2 linked regions of the Rattus norvegicus genome follow. The protein of the gene in region 2 purifies or fractionates together with the protein of the main gene of each other region. This does not show direct contact. Links are inferred from orthologs where the notes say so. Each region holds a gene or a part of one and is shown on either strand. Other genes may lie near its edges. The genes, in order: Nploc4 and Ubxn6.

Evidence for each region.
Region 1: the proteins of Ubxn6 (region 2) and Nploc4 purify together in Homo sapiens (affinity purification with western blotting; 3 studies listed by BioGRID and IntAct, with this or other methods). This does not show direct contact. The link is inferred for Rattus norvegicus from reciprocal best matches to the Homo sapiens genes UBXN6 and NPLOC4.

What each region holds. Positions count from the first base shown.
Region 1 is NC_086028.1:106,198,129-106,201,940, forward strand, and holds part of Nploc4 (nuclear protein localization protein 4 homolog), read right to left. Parts: intron 735-3,812; coding exon 622-734; intron 1-621. UniProt on the Homo sapiens protein: The ternary complex containing UFD1, VCP and NPLOC4 binds ubiquitinated proteins and is necessary for the export of misfolded proteins from the ER to the cytoplasm, where they are degraded by the proteasome.
Region 2 is NC_086027.1:990,045-994,355, reverse strand, and holds the start of Ubxn6 (UBX domain-containing protein 6), read left to right. Parts: upstream 1-1,306; coding exon 1,307-1,389; intron 1,390-2,607; coding exon 2,608-2,771; intron 2,772-3,046; coding exon 3,047-3,111; intron 3,112-3,274; coding exon 3,275-3,403; intron 3,404-3,687; coding exon of another isoform or gene 3,688-3,726; coding exon 3,727-3,824; intron 3,825-3,984; coding exon 3,985-4,060; intron 4,061-4,285; coding exon of another isoform or gene 4,286-4,297; exon of another isoform or gene 4,298-4,311. UniProt on the Homo sapiens protein: May negatively regulate the ATPase activity of VCP, an ATP-driven segregase that associates with different cofactors to control a wide variety of cellular processes.

The sequences.
Region 1 (3,812 bases), on a different chromosome or scaffold from region 2:
AGACTGAGCCACACATGTAGGTAAAACACTCATACACATGAGATAAATACATGGAAAATAAAAGACTGCTGAATGCAGGTACCCAGTTTATAGAAGGGTGAACAAGCTGCTCTATAAAAAGCCACAGAGCAAACATTTTCAACTCTGCAGGCTTCATCCTTGTTGCGACCACACTCCTCTGCACTCACAAAGAGCTGCATGACCCAGGACACCATGACCACAGGCAGGAGTGAGGGGCCTTTGTCAAAGTCCCACTGGCATGCAAGTGAGAACGGCCACCGTAGCTCACCTATCTTCTTAGTAAGCAGGGCTGTCATGATGGCATCTCTTTCCCAAACAGCTGTGCTCTATGTCCCCTCCTCCAGACAAGACGTTGGCCCTACTGCAGATATGGACCCAAGACTATAACCAGAATTCCACAGTCAAACCTGCTCAGTAGTAACTGCTGGCCTCGCATGACTGTTGTACACCAGCCATGGGACACAATCCCCTGTATGTGAGCAGTGAACAGAGCCACAGAAATAGTATCCAGAGGTAAAAGAAAGTCCAGACAGCCTCAGTCAGTCAGGGCACTCCATCCACCTCCTCCTCCTGCCTGTCTCCCACCAGCTGGACACTTACTTGATTTTTAGCAAATGCAGGGATTTGCTGGACGATGCTGTTATCTCTCCAGTCTTGTTTCTATTGATGTAAACCGAGAAGCCGTTGTTTTGGAAGCCAAACTCCTTTGCAACCTACAAGCCCCAAACAACAGAAATGTAATGAAACATCCAAGTATCAAATGCCAGAAGGTGCCAAGACCACAGGAAGAACAATTAGTAATGTTAGACAGTGCTCATCAGAGTATGCATCCCTTGTCGTTTCACTCAGGAAAAACTGTATTGATCACACCAGTGACAATTCAGTAAGTGGTCCACAAGAAGCCAAAGATCCTGTATAAATAATAAAAAAAGGTGGAACCAGCCAGAGTCAAGGCCACTGTGTAAGTTAATTGCTACTTTTGAAACAATACTGAAAACCCAATTCCCATCATAAACCTACCAGTAGAGAGAAAATGGAGTGCAGAATGATGCTACCAGTGGAAAAGCCAGCTGCAGCAAGTAAGAGTCTCAACCGCTAGTGCCTGCTGCCAAGCCTTATGACCAAAATCTGATACTGGACCCATAGTAGGACAAGAGAATTGACTCTTGCAAGTTGTTCTCTGACCGCCACATGTATACCACGGCATGAACCATCCACCCCAATACATAAATAAGTGTAAAAGATTTTTAAAACGAAAAGTCAGCTGGGCACAGTGGCACACTCCTGTGATTCCAGCGCTGGGAAGATGCAAACGGAGTATAGAGTTCAAGGCTAGTCTCAGCTACCCAGCAAGACTGGACTAAATGCATGAGACCCTGACAACCTGACACAAAACAATGAAAGGGAGAGGGGTTGGGGATTTGGCTCAGTGGTAGAGCCTTTACCTAGGAAGCGCAAGGTCCTGAGTTCGGTCCCCAGCCCTGGGGGGGGGGGGGGGGGGGAATGAAAGGGAGAAAGGAAGGAAAAACAGATAAGCAGGAAGGGAGGTAGATCATCAAATCACGTGTGCTATGGGACCTATTAATCATTTAACTCAACAGATATTAAGTACTCCATGTGGGACTCTGGAGGTTCTGGGCTCTGAAAACCCATCAATGAGACCTTGAAATGAATAGTCTCAAATGAACCAATCACTAAGATTCCATAAGTTGCTGTCATCTTCTTTTCTGGCTAGGGTAGAGATGGCAGTGGCACAGATCTCGAATGGCTCTGGCTAGCTTCAAACTCAGAATGCAGCTAAAGCTGGCCTTGAACTCCTGATCCTACTACCTGCACCTCCCAAGTGCTGGTCTGTGAGTTGTTTTCAACATAAACCATCTCACCAGTGACACATGCCAACATTATTTTCAGAGCATAAAGCCATATATAAAAAAGGTCGCTTACTTAGCACAGGCCATCTTGCTCAAACAACATTTACAGGGCTCAAGATCTGCTTTCCAAGCAAGTTTATAAGGTAGAAAGAGGCTGTTTTAAAGACCATTTATTGGGATTTTAACCCTACACACACAGTATAGCTCCACTTACAAGAGACATCTGAAATAGTGGAACTCAACACTTAGTGGGAAGAGAAAACGGAATGGTGGTGACCAGGGCTTCAGGGAAGCTGTTGTTTGAAGGAGAACAGATTTCAGACATACATAATGAAAATGTTCTGAAGACATGTTTCACAGCAATGCAATTCTTAATATGGAATGAAAAATGTAGTAGAATGAAATATGTAACAGAAGAGGAAAAAGAACACGTAATACCGTAGATGTAAATCTGCATTTGATAGCAGAGAACCACATCCATAACACACTGTCCAATAAAAAAAAAAGTAAATTAAAAATGGATACATAAGACCATCTTGAATATGGATATACTTGTAAATCACATGGTCTTATAGGCCCAGTGTGTGTGCAAACCGACAATCCACCTAGGCTTGTGTGAACTTGTCACTCCCAATGGCATAACTTGCTATACCCACCAAACAAGCCAATTAATGAGTGATGGAAAAGGGAGAAGTTGGATGCTGAGTTCTGCCAGTTACATGGAGAGAGCAGCCTGGGTGCTGGGAGTCAGTGTCTCTGGACACTGGCAGAGGAGGACCTTTTGGGACAGGACCTGCAGAGACGCTAACTCGGCAGGGTTCAACCCTGTAAACAGAATGCAGTTTGGATCCTATCCCTTTAATTTCACTAAAGTTTTACTTCTTATATATGAGTGAGAATGATGCACAATTAAAATGCCTTCCAGATAATTTTCAAAAAGCACTGAAGCACGAAATAAAACTCTAATGACAAACAGTTTCCCAGGCAGACATGGTAAGGTTTCCCAGGTAAACATGGTGAGGTTTCTTTGGAAATGCCATTGTGTTTGAGATGGGAAGAAATGTAGCAAGAGTATCAGTAAGATTGTCTCTGACATTTGAAATACCTCACCAAAAGCTGCTTCAAGGAATAACACTATGCGGGGGTTGGGGATTTAGCTTAGTGGTAGAGCGCTTGCCTAGCAAGTGCAAGGCCCTGGGTTCGGTCCCCATCTCCGAAAAAAAAGAAAAGGAAAAAAAAAAAAAAAAAAAAAGAATAACACTATGGGCTCAGTGGTTAAGAGCACTGACTGCTCTTCCAGAGGTCCTGAATTCAATTCCCAGAAACCACATGGTGGCTCTGTAATGGGAGCTGATGCCCTCTTCTGGTGTGTCTGAAGACAGATACAGTGTACTAATAAATAAATAAATAATATGTTAAAAAAAAAAAAGAACACTGTGTACTTAGCTATAAAATGCAGCAAAGTGAGTTGGGAATTACATTACTTCCATATTGACAAAGACAAAATAAGAGGGCCACAATTTACTGGCCTAGGATACAAAGTATGAGACAAAAGTTATTCTCCTCAGGGCTGACTCAGCTCTCTCCATTACTCCCTGTACAGACAGAGTCATAAACACGTGGCTTTAATTTCTCTAAAAAAGAACTAGGGGGCTGGAGAGATGGCTCAGTGGTTAAGAGCCCTGACTGTTCTTCCAGAGGTCCTGAGTTCAAATCCCAGCAACCACATGGTGGCTTACAACCATCTGTAATTGGATCCAATGCCCTCTTCTGGTGTGTCTGAAGACAGCTATAGTGTACTTATAAATAATAAATAAATAAATCTAAAAAAAAAAAAAAAAAAAAAAAAAGAACTAGGGAGGGGTAGCCTGAAGAAATGACTTAGTGGCTAAGAGCAAAGGCTGCTCTTCTAAAGGACCA
Region 2 (4,311 bases):
GGCCATCTTGGTCTCCATAGTCAAACTCTGACTCCATATATCTACAATCTCTCTTTCCCTTCCTTTTCCAGGCAGGTTTCTTTTTGTAGTCCTGGCTGTCCTGGAACTCAATCTATAGACCAGGTTCTGCCTGCCTCTACCTCCTGAGTGATGGGATTAAAGGAATGTGCCACCAATGCCTGGCTCAATTTTTTTCCCAAAGGACTAAAACATCATGTCCCAAAACATTTACTGAGCACTTCCTGACTGCCTTCCTTATGGTGCTCCACTCCTCTCACTGTAGCTCTTGGAAACCAGTCTTCCACAGTTCTCATCAAATGCCTCCCCTGCTCCCCTTCAGCTATGGGGCTTGGAAGTCACCAGGGCTTCTGTCCTTCAGCTTGGTGCATCTTGGGTCTAATGGTTGGAAAAAATAGTAAGATTACTAACAGCCTGGGTAGCCCCCAAAGCTGCTGCATCCCTGACAATTTCACACCAGCACAGATGAAAACTTGTCCATAGTCCAGCAAGACCAAAATGCAATGTGCAATTAGGGCAGAATTACATGCACAGAGGCAGGAGGTGATGGAGAGAGCTCCTGGAATCTCAGGTGAGCATCCGATGCCCCTTCCTAATGAATGACCATCAATAGTGAAGTATATGATTTGGGGGCGTCTCTTGCACAGACACAGTGGCCCTGATGTAGATGATGGCTGTTTTTCACATGAACAATAGTGCTCTACTATGCCCGTGTCCAAAGCATCCATCTTTTTGTTGAGTGTACACACCACATGAGATGGAAGTGTTGCAGGAGAATAAACTCAGCTTTGTGCATGCTGAGAAAGCTCTGTACCAACTGTGGTCCTGTGGGACTGTATTGTAGTCCAGGCCAACTTTGACCATGCCTGCACCAATCTCTGTCGGCTCCTTTCTGGCTTGTCCCTCCCAGAGCGGATTTCAGGCTCCTGCACAGCATATCCATATTAATTTTCTCTGTAGTACAGGCTAGCCTCGAAAGCCTGACATCAACCCAGGTTCCAGTAGCTCTGGAGACACTTCAGGGCTGTTCGGTGTCTGGATGCTCTCTTGCCCCCCCCCCCCCCCCGGCGGTTGCCGCGGTCCTGAGGGAGAGCCTGTCGTCCTGGCAACGGCGTCCGCAGACAGGAAGATGGCGCCCCGCCCGCGAGGTGCCGCAAGGCGATTGTCACGTGTGCCGGGCGGGACTTCCGTCGCCGAGATATTTTCTTTCCGGTGGTTGGCCGCCTGCTCCTCACCCACCCGGGCCCTGCGCCCTCCGCCCCGCGGCCCACGCCGCCGGGCCGCCGCCATGAAGAAGTTCTTCCAGGAGATCAAGGCTGACATCAAGTTCAAAAGCGCGGGGCCCGGCCAGAAGCTTACGGACTCCGCAGGGTGTGTGACGCTGGTTGGGCGACGGAAAAGGGCGAGGGCCAGGCAGGGCCTTCCGCTGGGTGTCAGGGATCTCTCCAAGCTATACAGAGCCGGAGCAGATGAGAGGGCGGGATGTGGAGATGGGCGGGGCCGAAGAGTGTAAATCAGGAGGGCGGAGCCTAAGAGGAGGGCGGGGCGTTGTAGCTGCGGTGGGCGTGGCAGAAAGGGAGGGCAGTGGGTGGCCTAGAGCGGGTGGGCGGGGCATTACGGATAGGCGGACCCGATGGGCGGTGGTGTCCAAGCCGCGTTGTTTAAGGCCATAAGACTCCTAGTCCTGGGTACAGCTACAAATAGTGGGACAACTTCCATGATGAGGAAAATGGAGGTTCAAAGGATCCTTAGGCCAGGAGCTGGTACTGGAAGGGATAATGTCTGGAGGTACAATGTCTATGATCTGTGCACCTCTGTAAAAGTAAATTTCACTTTTATTTCCTCAGATGAAGTGATGAGATGAGAGTTGTGTGATTACACTGCTTGGGCTGAGCCCAGAGCATTTCCTCCCATGTTCTAACAACTATCCCAGGAGGCTTCTAGCACAGTATAATTTACCAAGCTGACTAATTCAATCTGGCTTCTCTCAACTTCTCACTGAATTGCTCTGCTTGGGCTCAAACTAAGTCTGGCAATCTCTTCTAATCTTCTGGTTCCTTCTCATTCTCTAGCAGCAACCTACCTCCAAACTGTACTGACTGAACTGCTTCAACTCACTCTCTGTGCTGCCTCTTAAGTCCTCTCTTTCCTGTCCTCAGACTGACTCATTCTGTCAAATCTTTCTCTTGATTTGTCATTTTGTCTGCCCCTCAGGTAGATTCTACTTTTTTTTTTAAATGCATTTTCTTTAATCTTTTTTTTTCTTTTTTTTTTTCGGAGCTGGGGACCGAACCCAGGGCCTTGCGCTCGCTAGGCAAGCGCTCTACCGCTGAGCTAAATCCCCAACCCCTAGATTCTACTTTCAAACATGACTTCTTCCTTCTACAAACTAACCTTACCTACACTGTTAGGGATTAAAGATACATACTAAGGGCCTGTCTGTATTCTAGCCAGAGATCAAAGATTTGTAGCATGTCTGCATTCCTCCTACATATCATCAGATGTGATCCCTTGCCAGAGTGACCATGTTTCTTGATTAAAATTCCTCTATACACCTTTTTGCATATTTGGGTCTCCATGTCTGTCCAGGGAGAAGACCTCCAAAGGAAAGTCACCACAGCTGGCCCTCCGGCAGCCCCGTCAGGGCCCCACTGATGAGGCACAGATGGCTGCCGCTGCTGCCCTGGCCCGGCTGGAACAGAAGCAACCCCGAGCCCGGGGCCCTACATCTCAGGACTCCATTCGGAACCAGGGTGAGTTCTGCTCTAGGTGGAACCTGGGGTAGGCTGAAAAGGGTCCACAGAGGGTGGCTGTGGGTCCCATGTGGAAGGAGACACCATTGGTTCTTGCTTGGAGACCTGGAGAAGACAGAGACTAGACTTTACTTCCTGGAGCATTGGCAGGGAGGGTTGCTAGCTCTCGGACACACCTCACACACCCCACTCCTTGGAGGATGATGGGTATGGCTGAGCCTCTGGGTTATGGCTGGAGTCCTTACTCTGTTCATATTACACCTTCCTACACTCAGTGAGAAAGGAACTTCAGGCCGAAGCCACCTCCAGCAACAATCCAGGAGCTCCTGGGACCAACTCGGTAAGGATCTGCTGGGGACTGCCCAATGTTCTGGGCCAGTATGGAAGCAGCTGAAGCCTAGGAAGGGAGAGCTTTATACATATGAGCCATACCTGTGGTAGTGTGGATGAGAGCTATGGGCCTATATGTCCAGCTATAAGAGCCTCTTGTCTTCTATCTTCAGGTACCTGAGACCAAAGATGAAATCTCTCCCCATTTGGCAGTGCCTGGTGTGTTCTTCATCTGTCCGCTCACAGGTGTCACCCTGAGGAGGGACCAGCGGGATGCCCACATCAAGCAGGCCATCCTGTCAGTAAGTGGCCTATGCCCTAGCTACTGGACGCATTTCCATCAAGCCTGGTGTCTTATTCACTATTCTGCTATTACAATGAAGAGAAACCATGGTCAAGGCAGTTCTTACAAAAGAAAGTATTTAATTGGAGCTAGCTTAGTTTCAGGGGGTTAGTCTGTTGTGGCTACCTTGGCCTTAGCTTCACCCAGCACCTGGGAGTTGAACGACTGGCAGTCATGGGGACCTCAGCCAGGTGCTATGGTTCTGACATGGCTGCAGTTGCTGTCTCTCTTCCCATTCCTCAGCAGTTTTATGGGGTCCTCAGCATGCCTCTTCTCCCCCAGCACTTTTCCACAGACCCTGTGGCTGCCTCCATCATGAAGATACATACATTCAATAGAGACCGGGATCGAGTGAAGCTGGGTGTGGATACCATCGCCAAGTGAGTGAGCCTGTTTACCCAAGAGATCTGAGCACTGAGGCGGCTATGGTGTAGGCTCCGTGTGCTTTGTGCACCAGGCTCAGCCTGGCTATGTGAGGATCTGAGTGTAAAAACAGTGAAGTAAGGTCCCCTGGGTTACTCTCTCCCTTCTCCCTCCCAGGTACCTGGACAATATCCATTTGCATCCAGAGGAAGAAAAGTACCAGAAAATCAAACTGCAGAACAAGGTGTTCCAGGTAGCTGCAATGGCTGTCCTCGGGTCACTGGGCATGGGGTGGGTGTAATGCAGTGTTGCTTGGATTTTTGTGGTTTACTTTGGTTGTTGTTGAGACCAGGTCTCACTATGTAGTCCAACCTGACCCAGTACTGGGAGTCAGCTGAGTTGTGACCCAGCTTCCAAAGTGCTAAGACACAGGCACGGAACTCATTACCCATCTTTCTTTTCCTACTTGAATTTACAGGTGGGTGCGTGAGCCACGGCTTGTGT